Linked DNA regions of Xenopus tropicalis. The protein of the gene in region 1 purifies or fractionates together with the protein of each later gene. This does not show direct contact. Links are inferred from orthologs where the notes say so. Each region holds a gene or a part of one and is shown in the gene's direction. Other genes may lie near its edges.

Region 1 (4,067 bases):
CTCTCTTCCTCACCGGGTCTGCGGCGAGTTTTAAGGTAAGTGGGTTGCGTTCAAGGGCCGGGTCGTGATTTTGAGATTTGCAGTGAAACCTGCAATTGGATGTGTGTGCTGTGTTCTGTTCCGTTGTTATTGTAGATAAATAGGTTTCCTCTGCCGTAGTTTATTTAACTTTTATGGAACCACGCGTGCATTTGTTACGGAGTTGCTTGGGGCCGTGGTCTCTTTCAGCTGTGTATTAGCGTATTTCTGGCAATTAGTGTTACCGTATTGTTACACTAGATATCTTGGCGGGAAGGGAACATGGGTGCTTAAAGTGGGCGCAAAATGAAGAACGGTGCCAAAGCAAGGCTTGCGGCCTAGTCCCAATCTGCGCTGCATCCTCTCCTATGTAAGCCATCCGCCTCCTCTCAATATATACTTGGCTTTAGGCGGATGTGGTTAATATTGCCGGTGCTGTATTATTCCAGACGGTAAATGCTTAAGGCTCGACAAGTGAACGTGGTTTGGGGAAGGAGCGAGAGAGCTGTGCGGATGGGTGGCGGCGCGCCTACATGGGATTCATTGTACGTAGTGCAGTTTAGACTGGTCAGGCGAACATAGTGTTTGTGGTGCCTGTAAGCGCTGAACTATAGCAGGACTGGGGCTATTGCCAGTGTCAGGGCCCGGCTGGCACAATGGCGCTAGTGCTGACGTGTATCACCCTCTCTCCCAGGCAGGCTCGGCGTGGCCGGTGTATCCGAGCCAGTGGGGGCGGCTTCACTCACTAAATGGCCGGCGTGCTACGGGTTACTGCTGGCCCTGCTTGAACGCGGGATAGCAGCTGCTTACTTATTGGGTTAAATGTTCTGTGTGGGCTCTGCTCTTTTCTATAGAAATGAAACGTATCTAAACCATTAGTCCTGTTTAGCGTTGCGTTCCCCCATCTGGTTGTTCCATAAAGATGGCGGCGGCTCTCAGCTGAAGGATTTTTTTTTCTCCACAAGATGGAGGCTGAGTCACAAGTGAGGAGACAAAAGAGCTGGGAGCGCTGCATGCAGGGCCTGACTCATACACCAGGGGGAGTACAGGCCTCGCTCTTGCCTTCTTCCTTTTATGTAATGAGGGATTTCAGGGTTTTTTTTCCAACTAGATATCTGTGCAAAGTTCTTGAATTGTGGGTGGGGCTGCTTGTGTCTCCAGCCCTTGGAACTGCTGAGTAATGCCTGCCATGGCTTGCTTTGATGTGACCTATATTTTTAGCTTTTTTTTTTTTTTTGATGTTTTTTAGTGTCCACCGCCAAACATCTAACAATCCACAATGGGAAAGGAAAAGACTCACATCAACATCGTCGTCATTGGACACGTAGATTCTGGAAAGTCCACAACAACTGGACATCTTATCTACAAATGTGGTGGTATCGACAAGAGAACCATCGAAAAGTTCGAGAAGGAAGCTGCTGAGGTAAATTTTGTTAACAATCGCACTTCTTGTGGTATTGCAGCAGTCTCACCCCCCCCCCCCCTTACTAAATATTTAGTCCTGCACATGTTTGTTTAGACAAGTCTTGCCTGTGCACTAATGTGTACTTGTATTTGGTTTGTATTAATAGCCACCTGCCTTGGGTGTTTGTGATAGTAGGGGGAGTATAAACATTGCAGTGTGTCAGGTCATTCTTGGCAGAAGCCTTGTAAGGGGTTTTTAATCATGTCATTGCTGAACTTTTCACCTAACAGATGGGCAAGGGCTCCTTCAAGTACGCCTGGGTCTTGGACAAACTGAAGGCCGAGCGTGAACGTGGTATCACCATTGACATCTCCCTGTGGAAATTTGAGACCAGCAAATATTATGTTACTATCATTGATGCTCCAGGACACAGAGACTTCATCAAGAACATGATCACTGGTACCTCTCAGGTAGGTTTTAAGTCCCAAGCAGCTTTGCTATTTATATCTAAAGTAGGTGAGGCAGGCTTGCTGTTAAGTGCACATGAGTAAAAATGTATGTTTTCTCTTGTAGGCTGACTGTGCTGTCCTGATTGTTGCTGCTGGTGTTGGTGAATTTGAAGCTGGTATCTCAAAGAACGGACAAACTCGTGAGCATGCCCTCCTTGCCTACACTCTGGGAGTAAAGCAACTGATCGTTGGTGTTAACAAAATGGATTCAACTGAACCCCCATACAGCCAGAAAAGATATGAGGAAATCGTTAAGGAAGTCAGCACATACATCAAGAAGATTGGTTACAACCCTGATACTGTTGCCTTTGTACCTATTTCTGGATGGAACGGTGACAACATGCTTGAGCCCAGCGCCAATGTAAGTACTGTGGCAGTTCACTTAAATGTCTACAGCCTGGCATACTCTCTGGTTAGTGTAACAGTATTTTGATGTATACAAATCTTGTTTTTTCTAGATGCCTTGGTTTAAGGGGTGGAAAATCTCACGTAAAGAGGGATCTGGCAGCGGAACTACCCTGCTGGAAGCTCTTGACTGCATTTTGCCACCAAGTCGCCCAACTGATAAGCCTCTGCGTCTGCCTCTGCAGGATGTCTACAAAATTGGCGGTAAGTAACACTTTTCCTATGTGTATGCTGGAATGTTGTTCGTGCTTTAGGTTTACTGGCCTACATGGTTTGTGGGGGAAACCAAGTTAAAAATCGTGCATCTGTTTAAAAAAACTTAGCAGCCTTTTTTTTTTTTTTTTTTTTTTGTACAGGTTAACTGCTTGTCTGAAATAATCCCTCCCCCCCCAACTGCAGTAACAAATTTGAAGTTCACCAGGCATGGATGTCCCTAGTTAACAGCTTTGATATATTACGTTACTGCTTTTTTAATGTCTAGTGAATAAAATATTGGCAGCAAAGAGCTCATAAATCTAATTTTAGCTTAGACACTCTAAACAAGTCTCCAGAAGGAAGACTAGTAATTGCCAACATGTACGTTTAGGCCTTGTTTTGGCAGTGCTGGGATTTAGTATGTTAAAGTATTCACACTAAAATGGCTGTTTCTTTCAGGTATTGGTACTGTACCAGTTGGTCGTGTGGAGACTGGTGTCCTTAAGCCAGGCATGGTGGTTACTTTTGCCCCTGTTAATGTAACAACTGAAGTTAAATCTGTTGAAATGCACCATGAAGCCCTTAGCGAGGCCATGCCCGGTGACAATGTTGGCTTTAACGTGAAAAACGTTTCTGTGAAGGACGTCCGTCGTGGCAACGTTGCTGGTGACAGCAAGAATGACCCACCAATGGAAGCTGGTACCTTTACAGCACAGGTATGCAAGATGGCTTATGGCTAAAGGAAGTGATATGGCTTTCCATAGCTGGCTATGGGGGCATTTAAATCGCTTTGCATAACTCTAAGATTGTTTTCTAAATGTCTGACTTAATAGGTTATCATCCTGAACCACCCAGGCCAGATTGGTGCTGGATATGCCCCTGTGTTGGATTGCCACACAGCTCACATTGCTTGCAAGTTTGCTGAGCTGAAGGAAAAGATTGATCGCCGTTCTGGTAAGAAACTGGAAGACAATCCCAAGTTCCTGAAGTCTGGTGATGCTGCCATTGTTGACATGATCCCAGGAAAGCCTATGTGCGTGGAGAGCTTCTCTGACTACCCCCCTCTTGGTAAGTCTTTTTCAAAATAACCTTTTTGCAGTCTTGTAAAATGCTACCCAGTAGGCCCTTAAGCTAATTATCCATTTATTTTTTTCAAGGTCGTTTTGCTGTCCGTGACATGAGGCAGACTGTTGCTGTAGGAGTCATCAAGGCGGTCGATAAGAAGGCTGCTGGAGCTGGCAAAGTCACAAAGTCTGCTCAGAAAGCACAGAAAGGCAAATGAATATTTCCAGCATCTCTCACCTCAGTCATAACCAGTGGTGGAGGATTGGTCTCAGAACTCTTTCTATCAATTGGCCATCAGAGTTTAATAGTCAAAGACTGGTTAATGATTACAATGCATCGCAAAAGCTTCAGAAGGAAAAAAATGCTCGTGGACACATTTGTTTGTGGCAGTTTTTAAGTTATTAGTGTTTTAAATCCAGTAATTTCTAAATGGAAGCAACTTGACCAAAATCTGTCACCAAATTGAGACC
Region 2 (4,100 bases), on another chromosome or scaffold:
GAGGTGCTTGCGAGGGGACATGATTACTCTGTACAAGTACATTAGAGGGGATTATAGGCAGATGGGGGATGTTCTTTTTTCCCATAAAAACAATCAACGCACCAGAGGCCCCCCCTATAGATTAGAGGAACGGAGCTTCCATTTGAAGCAGCGTAGGTGGTTTTTCACGGTGAGGGCAGTGAGGTTGGGGAATGCCCTCCTAGTGATGTGGTAATGGCAGATTCTGTTAATGCCTTTAAGAGGGGCTTGGATGAGTTCTTGAACAAGCATAGTATCCAAGGCTATTGTGATACTAATATCTACAGTTAGTATTAGTGGTTGTATTTATAGTTTATGTATGTGAGTATGTAGATTGGTAGGTGTGGGTTGTGTGTGCTGGGTTTACTTGGATGGGTTGAACTTGATGGACTCTGGTCTTTTTTCAACCCTATGTAACTATGAGTATGTAGTCTGCATAGGGCACCAACTCCCAGGGAGGCACCATCCCTGCTGCTCAAAAAAATCGTTTTTATATATTATAACATACCCCCAACACTGTCCCGCCGGTTTTTATAGCGCATCCCGCTGTCCCAGATAGTTCAATCAATCTATGGGGGCAGTGTCTATGGGGGCAGTGTCTATGGGGGCAGTGTCTATGGGGGCAGTGTCTATGGGGGCAGTGTCTATGGGGGCAATTGGGGGCACTGTTAGTGGGGCCCCTATAGTAGGTGTTTTTTTTATTATTTTATTTTTACTTCCGTAATATTTGGGGGAGGGGGCACAAAAGTACATTTCTGCTTAGGGCACCCATTTGGCCAGCAGCGGCCCTGCTTAGACTCAACATATTGGAGTGCAGCAGGTTGGAGATTTCAGGTGCATACCCTGAAAATATCTAACAATTCTAAATCGGAATATGTACTTTTAAGCAAACTGCACGCAATCCAGCAAGTGAAAGCGCCATACAAACCTACCTGCTCCTCACCGTCTGCCTCCGCTTCTCCGTTCCTATGGAAACGTTCCATTTCGTATCAGCCAATCACACGAACGAACGTCAAAGACTGTTGTTGGCCAATCAGAAAACATCTAGGTCCTTTACGTATTTTAAAGGCGAGCTTATTTGAATAGGTGTTTAACAGGGTGCCTGATCAAATTGCAAGTTTCATATGAAATTAGTGCAATTCTAGGTATAACTGCACATTATGACAATTGCTAGCATGTAGCCTCATTTGAGTCATAAAAAGGAAAGGGCGTTTTAACTTTGAAGGCCTGCGAGTACTGCACGCTGAGAAGCGTATAGCCGACGTGCGGGGTCCTTCGTGGCCTTGTCGCAGGAAGTGGCGTGTGTCTGTGTGTGTGAGAGCGGCGTGAGCGGGTAAGTTGCAATGAATGGAAAGGAAACGGGATATTTTCCTTGTAGCTAGAAATGAATCTCGCTTGATACCTTTAGGTGGATATACAGTAAGCACAGGGCCTGGCTGGGTTGCTAGAGGGTGTAGGAAGCAGCACGGCTAACTACATTTATTGTGTTGCCATATTGCATTAAAGGGAAAGTCCCCCCCCCTTTTTTTTTTAATCTGGGCAAAGTTTTCAAATAATGGTAATGTTTTTGCCATTTTTTTCCTCTAGGTGTAATGCAGTAAAAGTACATTTTTTATGGTGTCCTATCTGGGGTGGATAACCCAGGGGCAATGATGTGACAAGTAGTAAACCCCCACATTACCTGGGTACCCTTGATTTGGTGTTGGGCCATTGGGTGTATGGCATAAGCCTTCCTCTTTTATGCTTTATACATTAGAGCAGAATGATGGATACCCTACTGTAGCTGCTAATTATGTCAGGGATGTCCAACCTGCAGTCCTCCAGTTGGCCAGACTACATCAGTCTGTATTATGGTAAAAGCTTAAAGGAACAGTAACACCAAAAATAAGAGCTTTAAAGTAATAAAAATATAATGCACTGTTGCCCTGCACTGGTAAAATTGGTGTGTTTGCTACAGTAAAGCTGGCCATACACGTGGCGATCTGATGATGTCAGATCCGCCACACACCGTCAGGGCTGAAACAGCAGATAAGGAGGTAGAAACAATAGGATTTCTACCTCCTTCTGCCGATTCAGCCCTGACGGCAGATTTCTATGGCGCCCGATCAAAATTTTCTAACCTGGCCGATCGGCGAGTCGTCTGATATCAGCAGCTTCCTGCGATATCGGTTGACTCGCCGACATGCCATACACGCACCGAATATCGTACGAAACGGGGTTTCGTACAATAGTATTGGTGCGTGTATGGCCAGCTTAACCCTACTATAATTTATATAATAAGCTGCTGTGTAGCCATGGGGGCAGCCATTCAAGCTGGAAAAAAGGAGAAAAGGCACAGGTTACATTGCAGATAACAGATAAGTTCTGTAGAATACAATAGTGTTTTATCTGTTATCTGCTATGTGCCTGTGCCTTTTCTTCTTTGAATGGCTGCCTCCATGGCTACACAGCAGCTTATTTATATAAATTATAGTAGACTTTCTGAAGTAAACACACAACTTTTACCAGTGCAGGGCAGCAGCACATTATATTTTAGTTACTTTTATACACTTTCATTTTTTGGTGTTACTGTTCCTTTAAGGTTAACTGTGGCTGTGGAACGTAGAGAGTCATAATTCATCTCTGGCTTATATTTCACTTGTAGAATGATCCTATTTGCCTTTATTTCTACTTTCACCTTATTCTGTTATACTGTTACCCCAATACAAATAATTGCTTCTTGATTTTAAGGTAACAGTTATAACTGTTGCTAACAGTTGCCGGCAAGAACATTAGTGAGTAGCCTTTCCTTTGTATTCACTTTCTGAGATAACATGTTGCATACAACCCAGCGTCCAAGGGGAGTGGATAGAGTTGGGCAGATGCATGGATAGGCAGTGAGCAAAGCAGTGCTAATAAACACCAGCCTGTTTGCTGCTGGTGGGGAAGTAGGCTGGCAATAGATAATGGCTCCTTGGGTCTCCTTTCATCTGACTTTAAAGAAAAGTTGCCTCGAAACCTTGATTTTTTTTATTTTTTTAAAGGAAAGAGAGTATTCCTTTAATGTGTGTATTTGTGGTGGGGATTCTGTCATTGACCAGTGAGTTTATTTATTTTTTTATATTTTAAAATAAGGCTCAGCTAAAATGGACGCTGACTTGTACGATGAATTTGGTAACTACATTGGGCCTGAATTGGATTCAGATGATGATAATGATGACGATGACATGGGGAGAGATGACAGGGATGTGGATGTGGTAAGGCAATTCTCATTACATACATACATGGCCTGCACATGAGACCTCTGTAACAATAAAGCCAAAAACATGAAGATGTATTAATCAGGGCCTACCATAGAACAACAATTTTGTTAGTCCCTTTATATACCCGCACCAGAGAATATGTGGCACAACACCAAATTACCATCATGCAAGTGCCATGGATCCTATATTTATGGCATTGCATGGGTTAAAGGAGAAGGAAAGGCTAAGTCACTTGGGGGTGCCAAAATGTTAGGTACCCCCAAGTGACTTAAATCACCTTACCTTTTACCCCGGGCTGGTGCCCCTGTTCGGAGAGAATAGCATTAGCCCGGGGTAGCTGCGAGCGCTTCCTCCTTCCTGCTTCGCTTGCATGCGCAGTAGAGTGAAAAAGACGAACTTAAACTATAAAGTCGGCTTTTCACTCTACTACGCATGCGATTGTCCTGGGAATTTGCCTGAAGCGCAAATACGGAAGGAGGAAGCGCTCGCTACAGGTACCCCGGGCTGGTGCAATTTTCTCCTAACAGGGGCACCAGCCCGGGGTACAAGGTATGCGGTTAAAGTCACTTGAGGGTGCCTAACATTTTGGCACCCCCAAGTGACTTTGCCTTTCCTTGTTGTTTTTATTGTAGTTGATTTATTTTTTTTATTGTTGTCAATGTAAAGCCTCACTAAGTCTATAAAAGTTTATCGGACTCTCAGATAATATTTATTCTTAAATTGCCACCAAATACCCTACCAAAAGAAACTGGACACATATTAAATATAAATGTCATGCTTTCTTGAGCATTGTAGAAATACCATCCCCTGATGGCATTTATACAATGCCATGGTGCATGG
Region 3 (4,153 bases), on another chromosome or scaffold:
GAACTTTTTCCATACTTGTGTTGCTCCCCAACACTTTTTCCATTTGAATGTGACTCATGGGTATAAAAGGTTGGGGATGCCTGCTATAGAACATGACAGCCTTCACCAAAAGCTCTCTCCCAGTGTGTGTGGGCTAGTGCGGCTGACACACACCAAAAAATTGTTTTTCCCAAACAGAATGCTGGCTCTATTAGCTTGCAACTGTCCTTGGGGAAACATTTTTCAGGGTGACAGGGTGCCCTTCAAGGTATGGTGTTCCAAATTCCAGACAGATCCCTTATCGGGAAAACCCCAGGTTCCAAGCATTCTGGATAACAGGTCCCATACCTGTATTATACTTTATCCCACCCCACAAAAAAAAAAAAAAAAAAATCTGCCATAGCCATTGAGCCACAAGCCAGGTCATAAAAACTAATTTTAATCAATATTACAATATTCCCTATTTGCTGAGTAACGACTTAACCAGCGCAACCAATTGCATGTGTAATTTTCGCGCAATGTGCAATAACTAAGAGGTTAGAGGATGTGCAAGGAGAGAAGCGCATTACTGAATCCCAGCAGAGCTCTGAGTAAAGACGCGCACCCATGCACAGACTATGGAACGCTGTAGCCCGCGGGTTTGCTAGTATAGGAAGGGATGGAGTCTGGAAATCTTTAGCGAATAATAGAAGAGTCCAAGTCCTACCGAACTAAACTACATCTGTCAAGGGCACAAGAGTGACCTACTACCTTGCTAGACACACAGCCAACACCATTACACCGTAACGCAGGGTTACCGCATCGGTTATGCAAAACATTACAAAGAATTGCCATTTCCAAACCACTCACCCCACCGACTCCCCTAAACAGCTCTGGGAATATTTGGCCTTCTAGACCAGAACAGCCCTGGCCGGCACCCTTGACCAATATGGCGGATTTAAGCAACCTCCGGAACAAGCCACGGAAGATGGTAAGAATTATACGTAACTGAGAAAGCTTCGGTAACTTCCGCACAGGCAAAGACTAGAGATCGACAAAGTCCGGCAAAAATGACGAACGAGACTCGGAGAAACTTCGTTTCCGAAATGTTGCGAACGCAACATCGTTAGTCTTCGGCACAGGCAGTTTCCGGATCGACTTAACATCGGCTATCTCCGTGATAAGCGGCAACACATGCAATCCCAAATATTTCTGCAGTCGGAAAACGAAGATATGGTCTCCAGTAAGTAATACTTTGCCGAAAGGGTGCGGATAAAAAAAAATATAAACTTGAAATGATGTACATGTTACATAGTGAGTCTTTAAGGAAGGCTTAGCCCGCCCCTCGTAGCCCCGCCCCCTGTCTATAAAAGGCATCTACCCGGCCTGCAAGTTCTTTTCTTTACCCGTGTGTGCTAGGCTTCTTGAGTGAATTGCTGTAATGGGTTTCGGCGATCTCAAATCCCCTGCAGGCCTTAAGGTCCTGAATGAGTTCCTGGCCGACAAGAGCTACATCGAGGGGTCAGTGTGGTAAATGCTATATTATAGTTGTGCTAATGTTCGAAAGGACAAGGAATGTGTAATATGAATGAACGTGTTGGCTTCCAACGCGTGGTCCTAGGCCGCAACCTCCTGCTGCCTGACTCCTGAATTCTTTTAGCTGCAGTGCCGTAAACGTGTCACAAAATCCCAAGTGATGTAATATGTAAAGGCTGCCTGGTTAATTGTGCCTTGTGCTTTAGTTATGTATTCTTTCTAATGTTAATAATTAAGTGTTTCTTGGAATCATTTGTAAATGTAATTTGTATTAAAAGCAGAATAGGTCTGGATTTCTACACTTTCGGCACTGCTGGCTACGACTGCTGAGCCGATGTAGCAGAAGCCAGCTGCTTAAACTGCACTATGTCAGAGAACGGAAAATTATATAAACTGTTCAGTGTAACTAAATGTGCAAATAGCCTTAAAACTTGGATAATGTTTATAGGAAACAAATGTTTGGACACTATTTATACAGTTTTTTCTACTGTACTATATTATGTTTAGTGGTTATGCTGCTAATTGTATATTTACCCCCACCCTTTTCAGATATGTCCCTTCCCAGGCTGATGTTGCAGTATTTGATGCCCTCTCTGGTGCGCCCCCTGCTGACCTTTTCCATGCTCTGCGTTGGTACAACCACATCAAGTCTTATGAAAAGCAGAAAAGTAGGTAAGCAGTATGATAAAGTATAGCTATTGCTTTCACAGCAGTGATTGATAAAGGAGCATGGTTGAAAAAATATGATACTGTGCTGAATACAATATTCTTTGTTTTAGGTTGAGCTGTTCTACAGCACTTTGAAGCACGTTCACTACTATACTTATCTAATCTGAATCAGATTTTTTTTTTTTTTAATTCGGTTTATTGGTTAACATCCAGCTGAAAAATCACTGCCTATGGCTGTAGTGCTCATGCAGCCAGAAAGTGGCTGCAACATACATAAGCTTTGATAGTACTGTTGGCCTGCTGTAGAATGTAAATGGGCACAATTCTAATTAACATGGATCATGAATGTGTATCATTTTTGTGGTCTATGAAGTATTTTAAAGGAGTTGTTCACCCTTATGTTAAATTTTAGTATACTGTACAATTTTGAGACAACTTTTTTTTTTTTTTTATTTTGGTGTTTGAATGATTGTTTTTTTGTTAAACCGCTGTCCAGTTTCACATATCTGGTTGCTAGGGTCCAATTTAACCTAGGCAACTAGCCAGTAGTTTGAAAGATGGAAAATTCAATATAGGAGGCCCTAAATAGAAAGATAAGTACAAAAAAAAACAGCTTCACAGAGCAACAGATTTTTGGATTCTGAGGTCAGTGACCACCCCCCCTCATTTGAAATCTGGAAAGAGTCTGAAGAAAAAAGGCAAAAAAACTATACACCATAAAAATGAAAACCAACTGAAAAGTTGCTAAGAATAGGCTGTTCTATAACATACTAAATGTTAACCTGAAGTGTTCTCTTTGACAGTAGGACAGAATTGCATTCTCTTGGCTTAATTGATGCTAGCTGAGCACACAGAATGCCCAGTCAGACATGCAGAGGAGCCTCGTCAAATAGTAGCGTGGCTACCCATATTTGGGCCAGCTTGCAGTCATTTGCAGTTAAGATGTCAGTATTGTAATTTGTTCTCTATTGTAATTTGTTCTCTAAAGTTGTATGTAATTCTAGATAACTGTATATTCCTTGTGACTCACCTCTAAGCAGCTGCTAATGCAAATAGCCTAGAAGTATATTTCTCCTTTGTAAAGTAGTTTTTTTTTTTTTTTTTTTTTTTTTTTTTTCCTAGCCTGCCTGGTGTGAAGAAGCCTCTGGGAAACTATGGCCCTGTTAACATAGAAGATACTACAGGCAGTACAGCAAAAGATACCAAGGAAGAGGATGATGATGATGACATTGACTTGTTTGGTTCAGATGATGAAGAGGTGGGATGTGTAACAATCTTTAGATGTAATAAAATTAGACCTAAGAAGCATAAGGTGCAGAATAAATTACACTGGCTGTACAGCTGTGTCCATAATTTTTTTTTTTTTTTTTTTAACATGCTGTTCTACAGACTGAAATGTAAAGAGAGTTTGCTGTGTTTCATGTAGTCTCCTTGTGGACAATGAACGTAGCAAAAATGCGTGCATGCTTTAATTGTGCTCCACTGTAACCACAAATTCATTATATTACATGCCCAAGGCACACTACTATGGCCACATACCTGAAGCAGTGTTTGCTGTTGGTTACTAAGGTTCTAAACATGTGAAGGGAGTTGTGTAAAACACAAATTTGGCTGTACTATATTCAGGCTGGTCATGTGATGAATGAGCTAAATCACCATCTTTCGGCTGATTTGTGATGCATATTGTCTTCTAAACTGACTACACCAGCCTGTTAACTTAAAAAAACAAAAAAAAAACTTGCTATTGTGCAGAATCTTAAGTTTTTCTATTTCATAGGAAAATGAAGAATCAAAGAGGGTCCGCGAAGAACGCTTAGCACAGTATGAAGCAAAGAAGTCTAAAAGTAAGTGGCCTTCTCCCGAGTGTTTATTCTCCTTAAGGCATATGTTTTTAATTGTTTTGCCTTAAGAAAAGCAAAGTGCAATCACTACCTGTTTACATACTGGTCTTCAGTTCCTTTTTTTTTTTTTTTTTTTGTGGAATGGAAAT
Region 4 (4,078 bases), on another chromosome or scaffold:
GAGTTGTAGTTCTGTGCTACTGGTACTTTTCCAATGTAGTGTGTTTGTGAGTAATGGGGTTACTGTATTAGTGGCTAAGGATGGGATGGTGTAAGGGCTGCCTGTGCTTAGATTGGGGAGGCTTTAGGGTGGGATGAGTAATGGGGTTCTGGTAGATATAGGGAAGTGGGAACCTTGGGTAATCAGGAGTCTGTGTATTAATGATTTGGGTTGGACACTGGGTGAAATGGGGCACTTCCTGCCCTCTAGTGGGTGGGTATGGGCTATATGGGTGCCTTTGGGTGGGATTTAGCTGCAGGGGGACCAATTCAAGGTGCAGTGGTGTGGGGGTTAATATTAAAGGTAGGTTGTTGGGGGCACAGAGGGGTGGGTGGATGTGCCCAATAGATGGGATGGAGAGTGACTTGGGCACGGGGTACCCTCCTCTTGTTCCCCCCCCCCCCACTAATTTCCTTTCTTGCCTTTAGGGGTTGATAACTAAACCAAGTGACACCAAAATGACTGTCAAGATTGGAATCAATGGGTAAGTTAAGGGGTTAATAACTTCATTGGGGGTGGGTGCTGGGGCTTAAGGGGGTAATATGCAGGTGAGTGGGGGGAGATGCTGGGGTATAAGGGGGTAATGGACCCAGACAAACAGCTGGGGGGGGGTTAATGGCTTGGCAGATTAAAGGCCGATGGGATAGTGTTCTCTGCACGGTTTAGCGATTGGCCAGTGTAAGATGCCCCTTGGCTCTGGCAGTTGAGGGGTTATAAGTAATGAAGCTACAGACCTTTCATAAATGGTTAATGGTCCAGGCCGATTATTCTTTCAAAATGGCTGCTGCTCCTTAACCCCTCCCCTGCCAGAACCATGCGGAGTGTGAAGCTTCCTCACGTCCCACTGAGTCACTGCTCCCCACCTCACACCCCAACCCCTCCTCTCCATCCGCTGCGGCTCCCCATTGCTCCACCTTCTGCCAGGAGGGGGGTACAGTAATGCGCATGGGGGTGTCCCCAGTGTCTGGCTGCTGATGTCTCTCAAGGACAACCCCAAGGTCACAGTGTATCCTGGGCCAGGGTCACCCTTGCACTGTCAGTGTCCTATTGATGAGCTGTACCTGGGGGGCTGATGCACGGCACCTTGGGTGAATCCCCTCCCCTCGCTGCTGCAGAATAAGGAGTAATTGCACAAGTGTGGGGAAGCTGAGTCACGTCCTGCTCCCTGGTGGCAGCCGCACGTAGGCACAGTCCCCTGGCTGTTTTATTCTGGTTAGTGACCATAATCCTCACAGCACAGAGTCTGACTGGGCTCTCGTGAACCTTCTAGAGACTTCTCTCATTAAAGTGGGACACTAAGATGCCCCCCCCTGGCATGGCTAAGTAGGGCTCCTATTAATAGAGGTGTTGATGCCAGCTGCTGTAACCCACGCCAGGGACATTATCATTCTGCCCTGCACGTCTCTGCCAGGACTCGGATCCAGTACTGCCCCACAATGGAGGCTGCTCCCGTCACTCTGGCCACTCATCTCTCAGCCTTACTACACACCCTCCTGTTTGTCCTCATTACGCGTCGCTGAACTTCACTGTTGAACTTCACCCCGAGCAAAGTTCAGCCCTGAATGTGCAGCCAGTCACTCGTATTGTGCCTCGAAGCATGCAGGGCAGTGTCAGGAGTCGCAACAGGCAGGCTGTGTGATTATTGCCTGTAATAACAGGGCAGTGGCAGGCAGACTGATTATTGCTTGTAATAACAGCCATTATTCAGGTTGTGCTGCGTGAGCAGTGCTTGGATAAACTGCCCCCCCCCCCCCAGGCTGGCTCAACTGAGTCTGGGTCAGTGGAGATTTCTGTGTCAGCAGGTGTTGTGCTAATGGCGGCACAGACCTTTTTTTTAAAGGGCAAGTAAACCAAAGTACATTAAGTTTGCATATTTCTTAGTGACAGATTGCCTAAATCATGTGCCCCCCCCTTGTGCCATTTAGAATAGTGGGATCCATTTGATCTAGGTCTCTGTATTCTCTATGTAACTGGCCCCTGTTTATTGCTATTCACTATAATGACAGCTATGTAGGGTGCCCTTCCCACCCTAACTGCTTAAAAAGAGGGGGTAGCAGTGCACCCCATTACTTCTATGCTGATCAACCAATTGCACCAGGCAACACTGCCCAGCAAGAGTCGGCAATTGCCAGTGCACTGTGGACAAACATTGGTTGGCTTGGGGGTTCCCCAAGCCAACCAATGAGGGGAACCAGCATGCCTTGATTCTATGGAGGGTTATGGGAATTGTAGTTTAACATATAGGGATCAAAGGACTAAGCTGTTGCATTGTGGTTTCAGTGCATTGGCTAAACTTCCCCTTTAACATCTAGCTGTGACGTCGCATCACTTATGATGCAAGGCTTTATCTTCTTACTGCTTGCCAGTGGCACAAGGGGTTAAGCGCATAAACATCTAACGATAGAAATCATTTTTTCTTTTTAAGATTTGGCCGCATCGGGCGCCTGGTGACCCGCGCTGCTGTTTTAAGCGGCAAATGTGAAGTCGTTGCAATCAATGACCCCTTCATTGACTTGGACTACATGGTAGGTGGCTCCGTTCATCTGCATTTTTGTGTTCTGGAGTATAAAATGCTCGGGAATTAACCCCTCCCACTCTCCGCAGGCTTACATGTTCAAATATGACTCCACCCACGGCCGATTCAAGGGAACAGTGTGTGTTGAGAATGGCAAGCTGGTTATCAATGGCAAGGCAGTCACCGTCTTCCAAGAGTAAGTGAGGTTGTGGCTCAGTCCTGGCCTGGTTCTAGACTGGGTTCCTGCAGCAGAATCTAATCACAGGGGGGATGTTTACAGTTCTCTCCTCTCCCCAGGCGTGACCCCTCCAACATTAAGTGGGGCGATGCTGGTGCAGTGTATGTGGTGGAATCTACTGGAGTCTTCACAACCAAAGAGAAGGCCGGTGTAAGTAGTTACACCCCCCCCCCCCATAACATTTGGCTTTCTATATCTAGAATTCACCCTGGACTTTTTTTTTTTTAATTTTTACCTGCAGTTGCACTTGAAGGGAGGTGCCAAGCGTGTCATTATCTCTGCCCCCTCAGCTGATGCCCCCATGTTTGTTGTTGGGGTGAACCATGACAAATATGATAACTCTCTTCACGTTGTCAGGTAAGTGTGGGGTAAAAATGGGCGTTCCTTTAAAGGGGGAGCGAACTACCACAATGCTACAGGCTGTCTGCAAGCTTCTGTATTACTGGGTTAACTCTTTAGTTCTCAATAGCTCATGGTTTGCAGCTTCTGTAATCTAATAAGGGCTTGTTTACTATAACAACCATGTAAAACTCTAAGCCTGAAGGCTGTAAATCCTTAAACCTTTTTTTATCAGGATATTTGTCTATACAAATACTGATCAGGCAGGGGCTCCCTCTACTGCCCATAATAAAATTGCAGCCTGTTCTAGGTTTGCTGCTTGGCCAAACCATTCTGTACTTGATGGAACCTCTCAGTAATTGGCTAGTGCTTAGGCCTCTGTAGGCAGGCATTGATGTAGGCTGCCCATTCTCTGCCACTTTCTTTAGCTCAGGAATGTTAATGCTGTAAGTCTCACAGGCAATTACTGTTCTACATAAGCTGGCTAGCTTCAACTGGCAAAGTGGCTCTGCCTTCCCAGCCCTGGGCCTGCCTTTACAGGGCCTTGCCCCAAATACAAGCAGTAATGTGTCCTCCCTATATGGGCTGGCCTCTTTACTCTGATGGAATAAGGGAGTGATGCTTAGTTTACCTTTTCCCCTGCTTTGCCCGCAGCAACGCATCCTGCACAACCAACTGCCTGGCTCCTCTTGCAAAGGTCATCAATGACAACTTTGGCATCCTGGAGGGACTGATGGTAAGTGCAGTGGGGCTTATTCAGCTTGGGACATAGAGCCTAAAGCAAACTGTCTCCCCCCTCACCCTGTATGAGTGACCTTAATGGAAATTATACCCCCCCCAAACAATGTAGGTCTCTCTAAAAATAGTGTGAACAAGCTTGTACATAAAAACCCTGCTTTGTGCAAGTTTTCATAACTTAACTTACTTTTTTGTAGTATGTGCTACTG
Region 5 (4,089 bases), on another chromosome or scaffold:
AGGCAGAAATATCATGCGTGTGCCTGCACCCAGGCGGATTCAGTGCTTCCGGGTGCAGGCACAACTGAAAGATTTTTAGATTCAAGAATCAGCTGTATGGAAATACCCTAACCTAACTTGCATATCCCAATATGACCCCCCCAATAGATCAAAAAAGTCAAGGTAAATGTTACTGTCCCCAGTGAATTGACTCATTATTACATTACTACTCATATTACATTAGCACATTAATTACTCATTTTAACTATTTATTAAAGAGTAATGTCGGCTGTTTATATTGAAAACTATTAACAGATGGATTTGTGCACTCCTGCATGAACTTTACAGCAGAGGAATGACTGGTTATTGGGCCCCACAGCAACATCATTGGGCCACTACACTTATGCAATTTATGTAACTTTTGCAAAAACTTAAGTTACTTTAAAAGAAAGTACAATTCTTACAATTAGCCTACAGCTAAGATTAATATAAAACTACAATACCCAGCATGCAATTATAGACAGAAGCTCCCTTTTCTATTCCTCTTTGCTGAACCTGAACCAGCAAAACTACTATAACCTGCATGGACTGGGCACAGGGGGCTGGGAAACATCAGCCATCCCAGTAACTGGAGAGAGGGCACAGGGCATGGGTAGTAATTATACACTACAAAAAAAGCATTTTCCCATATATACTTTTATTTTTTAGAATTTGTTTTCATTTTGTATATTGGGCTATTTTTGGGCTACTTTCGAAGTGGCTTTTGGCTAGTTTTGGGCTGGTTTGGAAAAATAAATCTGGCAACACTGGTTTTGTTCTATGTTTTGCTCAGAACCCAATTAAGTGTCTAATAAACCTTACTTTTCTACCCCAAATGACCTTTGACAGGTCATTTTAACAGACTTTTCAATAACACCTATAATACATATTTCAGGCAGCCACATATGTTAGTTCTATCTATGGTCCTGACTAAATGTATTATCCCTTAGCAGCTGGCTCCTACATTGCAAGGAAATCCCTCTATGCTGTTCTGGAAGGTTCTGCCAGGGAAGTGAATCCCTCTCACTCTCAGCTTATTAAACTCACTATCACAGCTTAACTCCATAGAATCCTTTTTTTGGGGTAGGGTTTTCTGACAGAAACCCTTTGTATCTCCCATACTGCCACATATCACCTGCCTGTACGTCCCGAAAGCGTCACGTTACGCTCCCGTCGCTTACACTCCTCTATTTTACGACAGCCCGTAGTCTGTTTTCGGCACCTATATTACGTCGGAGAGCTGGAACTGCGGCTCCTCCCTTTCTACTCGCGTGAAGATGGCCGGCGGGGTAAGTAATGAATAGGTCCCAGAAAATCCATCCACATCCGACAGCTTATGATATATCCGGGCCGTAGTGTGGGTCACTGGGATATGGGGTGCGCTCTGCTATCCGGGTCACCTTTCATCTCCCGGTTTGGTGCTGGTAGTATGGGGTAAAGTTAGTGGGAATAGTGCCCGGCTTTACCCGGAACTAAGGGGAGCGGTACAAAGAGAGGGCAATACGGCGCTGCCCCGGTAACTGCCCCTAGTCACGTGTCCCTGCCTGCTCCTTCCACACGCGTTTCTCTCCCGCTCTGTGCGCCATTTGTACGGCTGTAATACCGGCTGCTGTGTGACAGCGGCTCTATACAGTGACATGTGACAGATGCACAGTATTCTCTATAGAGAACTTCCAACGCATGGGAAGGCTTTTGAGCTGCCATGCAGTGTTGTAGCTAATACATGTTAGTAGTGTGGCGTAAAGTGGTGAGGTGGCAACCCTGGTTTTATTTGCTGCTGCCATAAGAGTATAAAGACAAGAAGTAGCTGCTTGAGTTAAAGATTTTAGGCTTACATTCTGTTGTCTGCCAAGGCTTAGCTTTACCCAGTAGGAGACTTCACATAAGAATAGTGATATGGCATGTAGTAAGATATGTGCTGCTTTCCAGGGCCTTGGGTGTACATTAGAATGTGTTAGATATATAAAGGAAAATGTTTCCTTCAGCAACCCTAAATATGGTACATGGAATTGTATATGGTGCCTGGTGGTGCAAAGTCCCATATGATTGGGGATAATCATTTTGTACAATATTTGCTTGCCTCAGTGTGTATAATGTATAACTGTGTGTATTCTCTCTGCAGACTCTGTACACATACCCTGATAACTGGAGGGCATACAAGCCCCTCATTGCTGCTCAGTATTCGGGGTTCCCCATCAAGGTTGCCTCCTCTCCTCCAGAATTCCAGTTTGGAGTAACGAATAAGACATCCGAGTTCCTAAAGAAATTCCCCTTAGGCAAGGTAATGCATTTGCTTCCATAGTCCCTCAACTTCAACCCCTCCAGATAATCTGCAATGTGTGTACAGTATGTATATATTCATACTGTAGCCCTGGATGTAATGAACTTTTTAAGGTAATATTATTGTCCTTAATCAAACTCTTTCTGGACTTTTAGGTACCAGCATTTGAGGGCAACGACGGTTTTTGCCTTTTTGAGAGCAGCGCCATTGCTCATTATGGTGAGACAATCATTTTATCTCTTGTTATCATTTTATCTTCAGCAGGTTAGCCTTTATAGAATCAGACCTAGCAATTACTCTCTGGCCCTTAGGGAAAGAACCCACCTGTGATAGTAACTGCTCCGAAAAGGCTTTCCATCGGCAACAGTAGAAGTCATGGGTGAAAAGGCCTTCGGTTTCCAAAGTTGCGTGAAGTTGCCTGCAGGAGAAAAGCCTTTTCAGAGCGTTTACTCGCCCATGATAGCAGCGGTCTGTTGTGGGTGAGTAACTCGCTATGTGGGTTCTTACCCTAAGAAGCTAATTTGGAGGTTGTTGCTGTAACTAGTATACAGCAGACCCCACAGCCACAGGGGAGGTATAATGGTCTCAAGGTCTGCTGCTGGGCCAGACTGGGATTCAAAATAGGCCTCAACATTTCAAGTACACAGAGGCCAAACCCCCAGCCCAGTGGCATCTTACAGCAGCCCCTTTCGCATTTTACAGAATATACAGATTGCCAGTCCAGGCTTGGTCTGCTGTATGGTTCTCCCTCCTTATTTCCAATGTTTGCTCTTCTGCTCTCTGCAAATAAATGAATGGGGAAAGGGGTACAGAGGAGGAGGGAGTGCATGCATTTAAAATTGCAACTGGGCCCAGGTGCTGCTTAGTTATGTCACTGTTTGGATGGTCCTAAAATAACCCAAAAATTGTGCACCTACCATTTCTGCTCTCGTTCTGGCCATTTTCTCTTCTTAAAAATCTATTTATTTAGATCAATCCATGGAATCCCCAGCCCAGGCCCAGGTTCAGTCACATATCCTGCCTGCTGGCCTCCTGGTGGGAAACTGCCCAGAAATAGTGATTTTACATAAAAACATTTCAGTAAAGATGTTTCCACATATTTCGGACAAATACAGATTTTCTGTACTCGCCAATATCGATCAACCCTGCTGGCATGTCCCATTATAGGTTGAGAACCTTGGGAAGTGTTCTATCTTTGGAGATGGCCACTTATAGTTCTGCTGCTTGCACTCCCTACACTAAGGTGGAATTATAAACATAAGCAGTATTCCTGTGAAAGGTTATTAAAAAAAAAAAAAACTTATGGATAGCTGGCCATTCAAACAGCAGCTGCAAAGCTGAAATCATAAAATAGCAACCTGGCAAATTATACCTTAATCTCTTCATATTTTTATAGGCATTCCTTGTGGCGGAATGCATAGAATTGCACTACAAGACAAATGCTGACTTGGAGTCTCAGATTTAAATTGGAGAGCATGTGAGCTCTGAGATGAGCTGTGAATCTTTATCATTCTACATCAAGGTTATCCATTTCTTTTTGTCCCTCTTTCTGTGTGTCTCGGGCTCCTGCAGACTGGGTATAATGAAAGTCCACTCTTAGGGTGAAGACACACTGGGCTACTAGTAGCAGCTACTTTTTTTTTATGACTACTAAACTCCAGAAAATACCCTGCCATAGACAATACTGAGAATTGCCTCTGCTAAAACACATGTAGAGGCAATTATCTGTAAATGATCAGCATTCTCTTTTTTAGTAGTCACGGCAAGTAGCTGCTACTAGTAGCTCTGTG
Region 6 (3,500 bases), on another chromosome or scaffold:
CCAGGGGGGACGGCTTTGGTATGTCCCCATGGTGCCTGTGTCCCCCAGGACGCAAGAGAAAAGGGGATTTATACTTACCGTTACATCCTTTTCTTTTAGTCCTATAGGGGACACAGGCCACCCTCCCTGGAAACTTAGGGATCATGCATACCTTCTCACTCAGCTGTGTTATAGCTTATAGTTATTAAGTTAAGAGCACTGTTTGCTCGGTCTTGTTACATAACTGAGGTACCTGGGTGGGGGATGAGGTTATATAGGGGAGAGAAATCAAAATTATACAGTGTCCTGCCTCCTGATGGGAGGGGATTTAACCCCATGGTGCCTGTGTCCCCTATAGGACTAAGAGAAAAGGATGTAACGGTAAGTATAAATCCCCTTATTTGTGAGCCACAGTCAAATGTAAAAAGACTTGGAGAGCAACACAAGCATCATAAAAGTTCATGGAGGTGCCAAATAAGGGCTAACATTGGCTATCAGGTAGCCTCTATGCACACTGTCAGCTTACAGACTGCTTTATTTGGTAGCTAATCTTGTTTTTATTCAATTAAAACTTGCCCCCAAGTCAGGAATTCAAAAATAAACACCTACTTTGAGGCCACTGGGAGCAACATCCAAGGGCTTTAGTGGAAATGCTTTTATGCTTATTTTTTTTTTCAAAGGCACTCATTTTCAATGTAATCTATTTCTCAGGAATCATGTGGGTCATGGTTAGAGCCAGGCTCAGCACCACAGTATTCATAATACATTTTGATAAAATCTGCCTTTTCGGTACACTGGTTTAAAAGCAACATTATAACTTCAGTGCCATATAACCTAACATCCAGGCAGACTGTTCTCATCATCCTAGATATTTGGTTACTGTTTTATCTCCCGGGTGATGGGATAGTCTTTAAACTCTTGCACTGGAAAAGTTCTGCAAGACCAAAATATCATGTCTGCATATTTTGCCCCTAAATATATAATTTTATATATATATGTTGGACTAAACTGTCAGTTCTAAAATGTAGGTACATATTTAGCTGGAGAGACGTGCAAGTAGCAGCAGGGGCCTGCCACCATAAGCGTGTTGAGAACATGCCTCAGATGGCAGTGCCCAGCAAGTTACCAGGAGTGGCAAAAAGCTGCGTGTGAATACCCACACCCAAAGCACATTATATAGAGCAGTGTTCCCTAACCAGTGGCTCCTAAACAACATGTTGCTCACCAACCCCTTGGATGTTGCTCCAGTAGCCTCAAAGTAGGTGCTCATTTTTTTATTTCTGGGGAGAAGGCAAGTTGCAGTTACATTAAAACTAAGTATAATGCCAAACAGAGCCTCCTGTAGCCTGCCAGCCCACATAAGGGCTATTAAGTAGCCAATTACAGCCTTTTTTATGCTTGCGTTGCTCCCCAATGTTTTTTCCATTTAAATGTGGCTCACAGGTATAAAAGGTTGGGGATCCCTGATATAAAGTATTATATGAAATGAATGTGTAGATACTGGTACCCCAAGCAATTTGTGCATAGTAAATGACAGTGGGTACTGGCACCTATAGTATATTATAGAAAGGCATATATTATTTGTAACATATATTAGTGATGTGCGGGTCGGGTGGGTTTGGGCCGACACTTGCACTTACCACCCCTTTTTTGTATCTGTTGTAGACATTTGAATGCAACAATTGTAGGATCATATTAATAAAGCTTCTACTTATCCCTTTTACAGCATTTAAAGGGTCATCACGTTCTCCATCCATTTTGCTCTCGCCTCCTTCCTATCGTCTTTGATGAGTTTGTAGACATGAGCTTTGGAACAGGTACCTGCAGAAATTCAAGTTTTGATTTGAAGAATATCAACAATAGACGATGAGTATCAACTATGCTATGCGCATAGTGCATATCTGAGGTTTTAATTTCAAGTCTGGACATAGCAACACTTGATGAACATTTGAATGTGAAAGACAGGTTGCAAAAATTACACTTTTTCTTTTCATCTTGTTATACAGGTGCTGTAAAAATCACTCCTGCCCATGATCCAACTGATTATGAGGTTGGAATGAGACACTCTCTAGATTTTGTTAACATCATGGATGACAATGGGACTCTTATAAATGTACCCCAACCTTTCCTGGTAAGAATAGCACATGGACAACACAATTTTACATAATTTAACCTTTTCTTTCTGTGCTAAACTGTTAATCTTTGTTTTCTGTCACATGCTCTCTTTAAGCAAAAATCTTTTTTTCAGGGAATGAAAAGATTTGATGCCAGAAAAGCTGTTTTGGATGCACTAAAAGAAAAGGGACTTTTCAAGGAGGTCAAAGACAACCCTATGGTTGTGCCAGTTTGCAGGTAACATTTACAGCAGCCACACAACAGATTGATTCTCTATAGGCTTACATTAATTTTCAAATCTTTTCCCTTAGCCGTTCAAAAGACATTGTAGAGCCTTTGCTGAAGCCTCAGTGGTATGTACGTTGTGATGAGATGGGGAAAAGAGCTGCTGATGCTGTGCGTGATGGACATTTGCTAATTAAACCTGAATTCCACACTAAGACATGGTTCATTTGGATGGACAATATCAGGTGAACAAAAATTTTGCTTCAGGCTTTGTAATTTTTTTGAAGTAACCCCAACACCATAAGTTGTATTTGATGAAAAGGTACTGTACTATTAAGGGGCTTTGATTGACAGTTAGGTCTAATACATGTTTTGGGGGCGTTGCACCTTTTGCCTAGAAGAGCTCACTCTGCTCGTTTCTCTGCATTAAGGAATTGAGCTGAAGTCAGTTATTTTTTTTGTTCTGGTTATTAGAGTTAACTCCAATACATCTGCTAGGAAAGGAAGTGCACCCTAAAAGATGTATTAGATCTACTTGTCAATCAAGAATGAAGAGTGACATGTTTTGCAATAGTTCCCATTTAATCCCCTGGCATCTTTTTCAGTATATCTTTTTCTCCATGTGATCTTTTTCAGTATAGAAGATTTGTAATAGCAACCCAAGACACTTGGTTTCTTATAAAATGTGTGCAATGCTTTAAACACATTTCTCTTTCTTTTACAAATTGACCTCTGTCTTTTTTTCTGTCCGACTGCATAAGGGCAGAGGAGTGGTTGTCTTGAGTTCCACTGCAGGGGAACACAGAGGTTAATACAGACTGCCATGTCCAATCAGTTCGTGCTGATTGTGTTCCATTTGCGTTCAGCACTTATGTAGAGTTGGTACGATCTTAATGAAAATAACATGCTGAGTTACTTCATGTGCTGTCTTGTAGTGGAAAGCTTAAAAGATCCACTGCTAGGAAATGCATAATGCTCTTACACTCTAGGTCTCTTATTAGCACCCTAAAATATTGCAATAACTGGTTCTCTGAAATGAGTTTAAATGTTTTTTCTAGGGACTGGTGCATTTCACGTCAACTGTGGTGGGGCCACCGTATCCCAGCTTACTTTGTGACAGTTAATGATCCATCTGTACCTGCTGGAGAGGTAACAATACATGCTTTAGATATGTCATCATT
Region 7 (4,111 bases), on another chromosome or scaffold:
AATATCATCCAAATCGCCCACTTTAGGAAAGCTTTGCAGCTTGGTACTTTGGAGTAAAAAAGGCATGTGTAACCATTTTGAATTTATGGGAATGTGTACTTTCAAAAAAATATATGACTTTCTGGGGTGAGCATTCATTTTTTGTAGCTTCATTCCACATAAAATAATGTAAATGTTGATTTTGCAGGAGCTGAAATGACAGAAATGATAGATCATATAGGGGTATTTTCATTTTAGGGCCCCTACATTGCACACACTTGTGGAAACCTATACATATTTTGCCTGACGAAGGGTCCTTAGAGCTCCGAAAGCTTGCAATGTTATTTTTATATATAATACTCTTGTATTTTGTTTTTTTTATTATTATTTTTGACACTGGCTAACACAGTACTACAGTTTTAGCTTTGTGATAAATTTTGATAAAAAAACAATAATTTTAGGAAAGCATTGCAACTTCGTAGTTTGGAGTAGACAGACAGTTTTAACCTATTCTCCATTCCTCAGAATCTGTTCTTTCCAAAAATGTATAATTTTCTGGTATAAACCTTCTGAAATGTAGGTGTTAAAATCTTAAGTATGCAAGCTTTCTGGAGCAGTGCTTTGGAAATTTGGTAGGTAGTGTACCGCTGGGAATTTTTGAATCACACAAATGAGAAATCGACATAAAACTATATATATATTTGGTGCTGGCACATTCAGGAGACATGGGACTTTCCGAATCAGTTGTATTTTTGTGCATAAAATCATTTGTTTCTTTTATATGTGTTTATATTACGGAAAACGTGTTGTTGTTTTTTTGTTGTTTTTGTTTTTTTTAATCTTTTAGACATTAAGAAGCCTATATCTTGTTCCAGAATTGGAATCACACAAAAATTCTACCATATTTTGAAATCTTAGGTCGCCCCCCCCCCCAAAAAAAAAAGATATATTGTTTTCCTGTGTAAACTAAAAGTCCCCCCAAGGAAAGGCCCTAAGAGTGCAAAATGTTTCAAAACAGTCTGGCAATACAAGTTCTGCTTTGACCAAATCAGCTGGCAGTGAAAGGGTTAACTGTTCAATACAGAAATATTTTGCTTAACCAGAACACCACAGCCCCTTAGTGAATACGAACAGATGAAAAGGCTAGCTTGCTTAAATCTGTACATTTTACTTCCCTCAAGGAGCATGTGCCTACGCCTTTAAATAAATTCTCTCCAAGCCTGCAGACCGCAGCTCTTCCTCGTTACCGTCTTCCGCCCCCACACACATTACTAACACGCCCCAAACTGTGCGCCTTTAATGCTAATCACATGACCAAGGCATCAGCCCAGCTTTCGGCGCATGCGCCATATAGACCCGGAATTTCCTCTTTTCAAAATGGCAGCCGCAATGGATGTAGACACACCAAGCGGAACGAATAACAGCGCTAGTAAGAAGCGCTTTGAGGTTAAGAAGGTAAGTGTGCTTGCTTGCGTATGTTATGGATGTAGCAAATGATCAGAACAGTCTTTCTAACTAATACTTAAAGAGGGCGACAGTGCAGCAGCTGATACTATTCAGCTAGATTGCTTGCGCCCTAAAGCTTTTTAGATGTTTGATTGACGTGTTTTCCGCCGAATCAAATGTTAAACCCTAATACTTAGGGCGGTCCGTTTTGGCAAAGCGGTGATTTCTGTCGTTCCGGCGGCCCAATAGCGGATAGCTACTGATGCCACAAACGATTGGATGAATTCTAACCAATGTAAGTGCCCCTCTCAGCTGCACTGGGAGGCGGGATCATGTAGCCGCACTTCACGAGTTTGCGGGGGAGCTGTAGGGCCACAGACATTGCGTGGTCTCATTTGCTCATTTGTTTCCCTGGAGGAGGCAGGGAATGTGTCTTGGGCTTTTAGCGGTGTGAGAGCAAGAAACGGGGCTATTTGATAAAAAATAAATTGTTGAACAAGTAAATGTAGGGGTCAAATGACTTGCATTTAGCACATGTAGGGGTATATTAATCATGCTGTGTAAAAAGTGGAGTGAAGCATTATCAGTGGTGTTGAGCTGGGTAACCAATCGGCTATTAGATTTCAACAGTTCTGATTGGCTGCTATAAACTTCATCGGTGATGTTTTACTCCACTTTTTGCACAGCATGATATATATACCCCTACGGTACAGGAGCTGTGAATATGCATTCTCACAGCGTGATGATTTTGCCACCATAGTTCTGCAGGGCATGGTGTGTTTAGCTTACAGTATCAAACATGGTGTATGTGCCATTGTTGGTGTATGTTGCCATTACAGCCTCCTCTCCCTCAGACCCTGCATACCCTATACTTAAAGGAAAACTATACTCCGAAACAATGTAGGTCTCTAAATATGTATTGCATATACAAGCTCATATGTAAAACCCTACTTCATCCAAAAAAGCCATTCTCATATAAATATACTTTTTTTTGTAGTATGTGCCACTGGGTAAGCCTAAATGAAGGCTGGGGCCAACTGGGCTTTTTCCCCAGTGTCCCGTAGCCCAGTCCAACCCTGATTAACAGTGGCTTTCTTTCTTCCACTACTGGGCAGTATTTGTTGTATTTATAGCCTTTCCAATTTCAGCCACAGAGTTGTCATGGGTCTCTTAGTGACCTTCTACATTATTCTTCTCCTTGCACATTCACTCTCTTTTCGTGGATGGCCTGTTCCTGGCAGATTTACAGCTATGCCATACCCTTTCAGTTTCTAAATGATAGATGTAACTGTATGTCCAGTTATAGTTAGAGACTTGGAAATTTTCCTATTTCCATCCCCCAACTTGTGCTTTAAATCACCTTTTTATGGAGTTGCTTAGAGGGTCCTTCTCCCTTCATGTTATAGATCAGTTATCCCCAACCAGTGGCTCATGAGCAACATGTTGCTCACCACCCCCTTTAATGTTGCTTCCAGTGGCCTCAAAACAGGTGTTTATTTCTTAATGTCTAATTTGAAGGCAAGTTTTGTAGGCATAAAGACCATCTGTACTGCCAAATAGTCTCCTTTATTCTGCCAGTTTGCATTGGGCTACCAAATAACCAATCACAGCCCTTATTTGTCACTTTTATCATGATTGTGTTGCTCCCCAACTTTTTATATATTTTTTTTTTTTTAATTTGAGTGAATTAGTGAAAAGTATATGTTTATGGTATAGACACTTTATTTGTTAGAAATAAGCTCCTGATGGAGCTGTTGTATACAGTCTGACCTGAGATTACTGTTAAAAAAAAAAAAAAAAAAAAAAGGGGGGGGGGGGTCATCAAGACGACACTCTTATCCAGCTCTGTGTGAGGCTACATGTTGAGGTAACAGGGTCTGCCAAGCATCTAGGCCAGAGGCAGGCCAAGCCGACCGGGCACCTAGGCAACCTGGTCGGCCACCTTACCCCTGCACCCTCCCATGCATAATACCCACGTGCAGTGAAGGAAATGACAAGTTAGTGCAGACTAGGGGGAGGCAGGAGAGGTACCTGTCTGGCACCCATTATTCCGGCCCTGATCTAGGCACATTGATATTGGTGCCTTCATTGAGCCACATTTGGGCCACGTTTAACCATTCCAGTAAGACTCCAAAGCCATTGTCTGGTAAAACTGGCTAAACTAGTAAATCGAACATACCGGTAATTCTATACACATGAACCAACTTAGAGCAGATTGTGCTAAGTGATTAGATGAGTTTTAAAACATATTTAATTTATTGCCAAAATTTACATCACTTTAACTTTTTTTTCTTTTTTGTTGCAGTGGAATGCAGTTGCCCTTTGGGCCTGGGACATTGTAGTGGACAATTGTGCCATCTGCAGGAACCACATCATGGACTTGTGTAAGTTTCCTTAATTGAACTTTAGCCGATAAAACAACTGTTGTCTGTAAGCAACATTTTAGTTAGTCCCAGTGCTTATATATACATTTATCTTTGAAAAAGTGAATAACCCCTTTGAATGGTACAAATGCAGAAAATAAAAATAATCCTCTTGTATCTTCTAGGCATAGAGTGCCAAGCAAACCAAGCTTCTGCTACTTCTGAGGAATGCACTGTGGCATGGGGTGTGTGTAATGTAAGTAGCTTTGATGGATATTCAGTGACTTAGTATCAAATATATAATATAGTTTTTTTGGAGAAAC

Evidence for each region.
Region 2: the proteins of eef1a1 (region 1) and eftud2 fractionate together in Homo sapiens (co-fractionation; 4 studies listed by BioGRID, with this or other methods). This does not show direct contact. The link is inferred for Xenopus tropicalis from reciprocal best matches to the Homo sapiens genes EEF1A1 and EFTUD2.
Region 3: the proteins of eef1a1 (region 1) and eef1b2 purify together in Homo sapiens (affinity purification with mass spectrometry; 3 studies listed by BioGRID and IntAct, counting the BioPlex papers as one, with this or other methods). This does not show direct contact. The link is inferred for Xenopus tropicalis from reciprocal best matches to the Homo sapiens genes EEF1A1 and EEF1B2.
Region 4: the proteins of eef1a1 (region 1) and gapdh fractionate together in Homo sapiens (co-fractionation; 3 studies listed by BioGRID). This does not show direct contact. The link is inferred for Xenopus tropicalis from reciprocal best matches to the Homo sapiens genes EEF1A1 and GAPDH.
Region 5: the proteins of eef1a1 (region 1) and eef1g purify together in Homo sapiens (affinity purification with mass spectrometry; 5 studies listed by BioGRID and IntAct, counting the BioPlex papers as one, with this or other methods). This does not show direct contact. The link is inferred for Xenopus tropicalis from reciprocal best matches to the Homo sapiens genes EEF1A1 and EEF1G.
Region 6: the proteins of eef1a1 (region 1) and vars1 purify together in Homo sapiens (affinity purification with mass spectrometry; 3 studies listed by BioGRID and IntAct, counting the BioPlex papers as one, with this or other methods). This does not show direct contact. The link is inferred for Xenopus tropicalis from reciprocal best matches to the Homo sapiens genes EEF1A1 and VARS1.
Region 7: the proteins of eef1a1 (region 1) and rbx1 purify together in Homo sapiens (affinity purification with western blotting; 3 studies listed by BioGRID, with this or other methods). This does not show direct contact. The link is inferred for Xenopus tropicalis from reciprocal best matches to the Homo sapiens genes EEF1A1 and RBX1.

What each region holds. Positions count from the first base shown.
Region 1 is NC_030681.2:91,801,312-91,805,378, forward strand, and holds the start of eef1a1 (elongation factor 1-alpha 1), read left to right. Parts: upstream 1-1,267; 5' UTR 1,268-1,297; coding exon 1,298-1,441; intron 1,442-1,713; coding exon 1,714-1,893; intron 1,894-1,996; coding exon 1,997-2,293; intron 2,294-2,390; coding exon 2,391-2,541; intron 2,542-2,991; coding exon 2,992-3,248; intron 3,249-3,365; coding exon 3,366-3,600; intron 3,601-3,689; coding exon 3,690-3,814; 3' UTR 3,815-4,067. UniProt on the Homo sapiens protein: Translation elongation factor that catalyzes the GTP-dependent binding of aminoacyl-tRNA (aa-tRNA) to the A-site of ribosomes during the elongation phase of protein synthesis.
Region 2 is NC_030686.2:17,862,438-17,866,537, forward strand, and holds the start of eftud2 (116 kDa U5 small nuclear ribonucleoprotein component), read left to right. Parts: upstream 1-1,300; 5' UTR 1,301-1,351; intron 1,352-1,413; exon of another isoform or gene 1,414-1,437; intron 1,438-3,132; 5' UTR 3,133-3,143; coding exon 3,144-3,254; intron 3,255-4,100. Other genes in the region: ccdc103 (coiled-coil domain-containing protein 103), read right to left, coding at 951-1,001. UniProt on the Homo sapiens protein: Required for pre-mRNA splicing as component of the spliceosome, including pre-catalytic, catalytic and post-catalytic spliceosomal complexes. Component of the U5 snRNP and the U4/U6-U5 tri-snRNP complex, a building block of the spliceosome.
Region 3 is NC_030685.2:50,704,095-50,708,247, forward strand, and holds the start of eef1b2 (elongation factor 1-beta), read left to right. Parts: upstream 1-1,353; 5' UTR 1,354-1,399; coding exon 1,400-1,479; intron 1,480-2,043; coding exon 2,044-2,166; intron 2,167-3,285; coding exon 3,286-3,421; intron 3,422-3,940; coding exon 3,941-4,007; intron 4,008-4,153. UniProt on the Homo sapiens protein: Catalytic subunit of the guanine nucleotide exchange factor (GEF) (eEF1B subcomplex) of the eukaryotic elongation factor 1 complex (eEF1).
Region 4 is NC_030683.2:10,006,237-10,010,314, forward strand, and holds the start of gapdh (glyceraldehyde-3-phosphate dehydrogenase), read left to right. Parts: upstream 1-1,278; 5' UTR 1,279-1,326; intron 1,327-2,464; coding exon of another isoform or gene 2,465-2,561; coding exon 2,562-2,564; intron 2,565-2,643; coding exon 2,644-2,750; intron 2,751-2,851; coding exon 2,852-2,942; intron 2,943-3,033; coding exon 3,034-3,149; intron 3,150-3,785; coding exon 3,786-3,867; intron 3,868-4,078. UniProt on the Homo sapiens protein: Has both glyceraldehyde-3-phosphate dehydrogenase and nitrosylase activities, thereby playing a role in glycolysis and nuclear functions, respectively.
Region 5 is NC_030680.2:36,806,296-36,810,384, reverse strand, and holds the start of eef1g (elongation factor 1-gamma), read left to right. Parts: upstream 1-1,289; 5' UTR 1,290-1,295; coding exon of another isoform or gene 1,296-1,307; intron 1,308-2,140; coding exon of another isoform or gene 2,141-2,299; intron 2,300-2,454; coding exon of another isoform or gene 2,455-2,518; intron 2,519-3,695; 5' UTR 3,696-3,821; intron 3,822-4,089. UniProt on the Homo sapiens protein: Probably plays a role in anchoring the complex to other cellular components.
Region 6 is NC_030684.2:75,080,970-75,084,469, reverse strand, and holds part of vars1 (valine--tRNA ligase), read left to right. Parts: intron 1-1,705; coding exon 1,706-1,796; intron 1,797-1,985; coding exon 1,986-2,110; intron 2,111-2,227; coding exon 2,228-2,331; intron 2,332-2,405; coding exon 2,406-2,564; intron 2,565-3,377; coding exon 3,378-3,468; intron 3,469-3,500. UniProt on the Homo sapiens protein: Catalyzes the attachment of valine to tRNA(Val).
Region 7 is NC_030680.2:115,969,901-115,974,011, reverse strand, and holds the start of rbx1 (E3 ubiquitin-protein ligase RBX1), read left to right. Parts: upstream 1-1,311; 5' UTR 1,312-1,320; coding exon 1,321-1,434; intron 1,435-3,730; coding exon 3,731-3,809; intron 3,810-3,973; coding exon 3,974-4,044; intron 4,045-4,111. UniProt on the Homo sapiens protein: E3 ubiquitin ligase component of multiple cullin-RING-based E3 ubiquitin-protein ligase (CRLs) complexes which mediate the ubiquitination and subsequent proteasomal degradation of target proteins, including proteins involved in cell cycle progression, signal transduction, transcription and transcription-coupled nucleotide excision repair.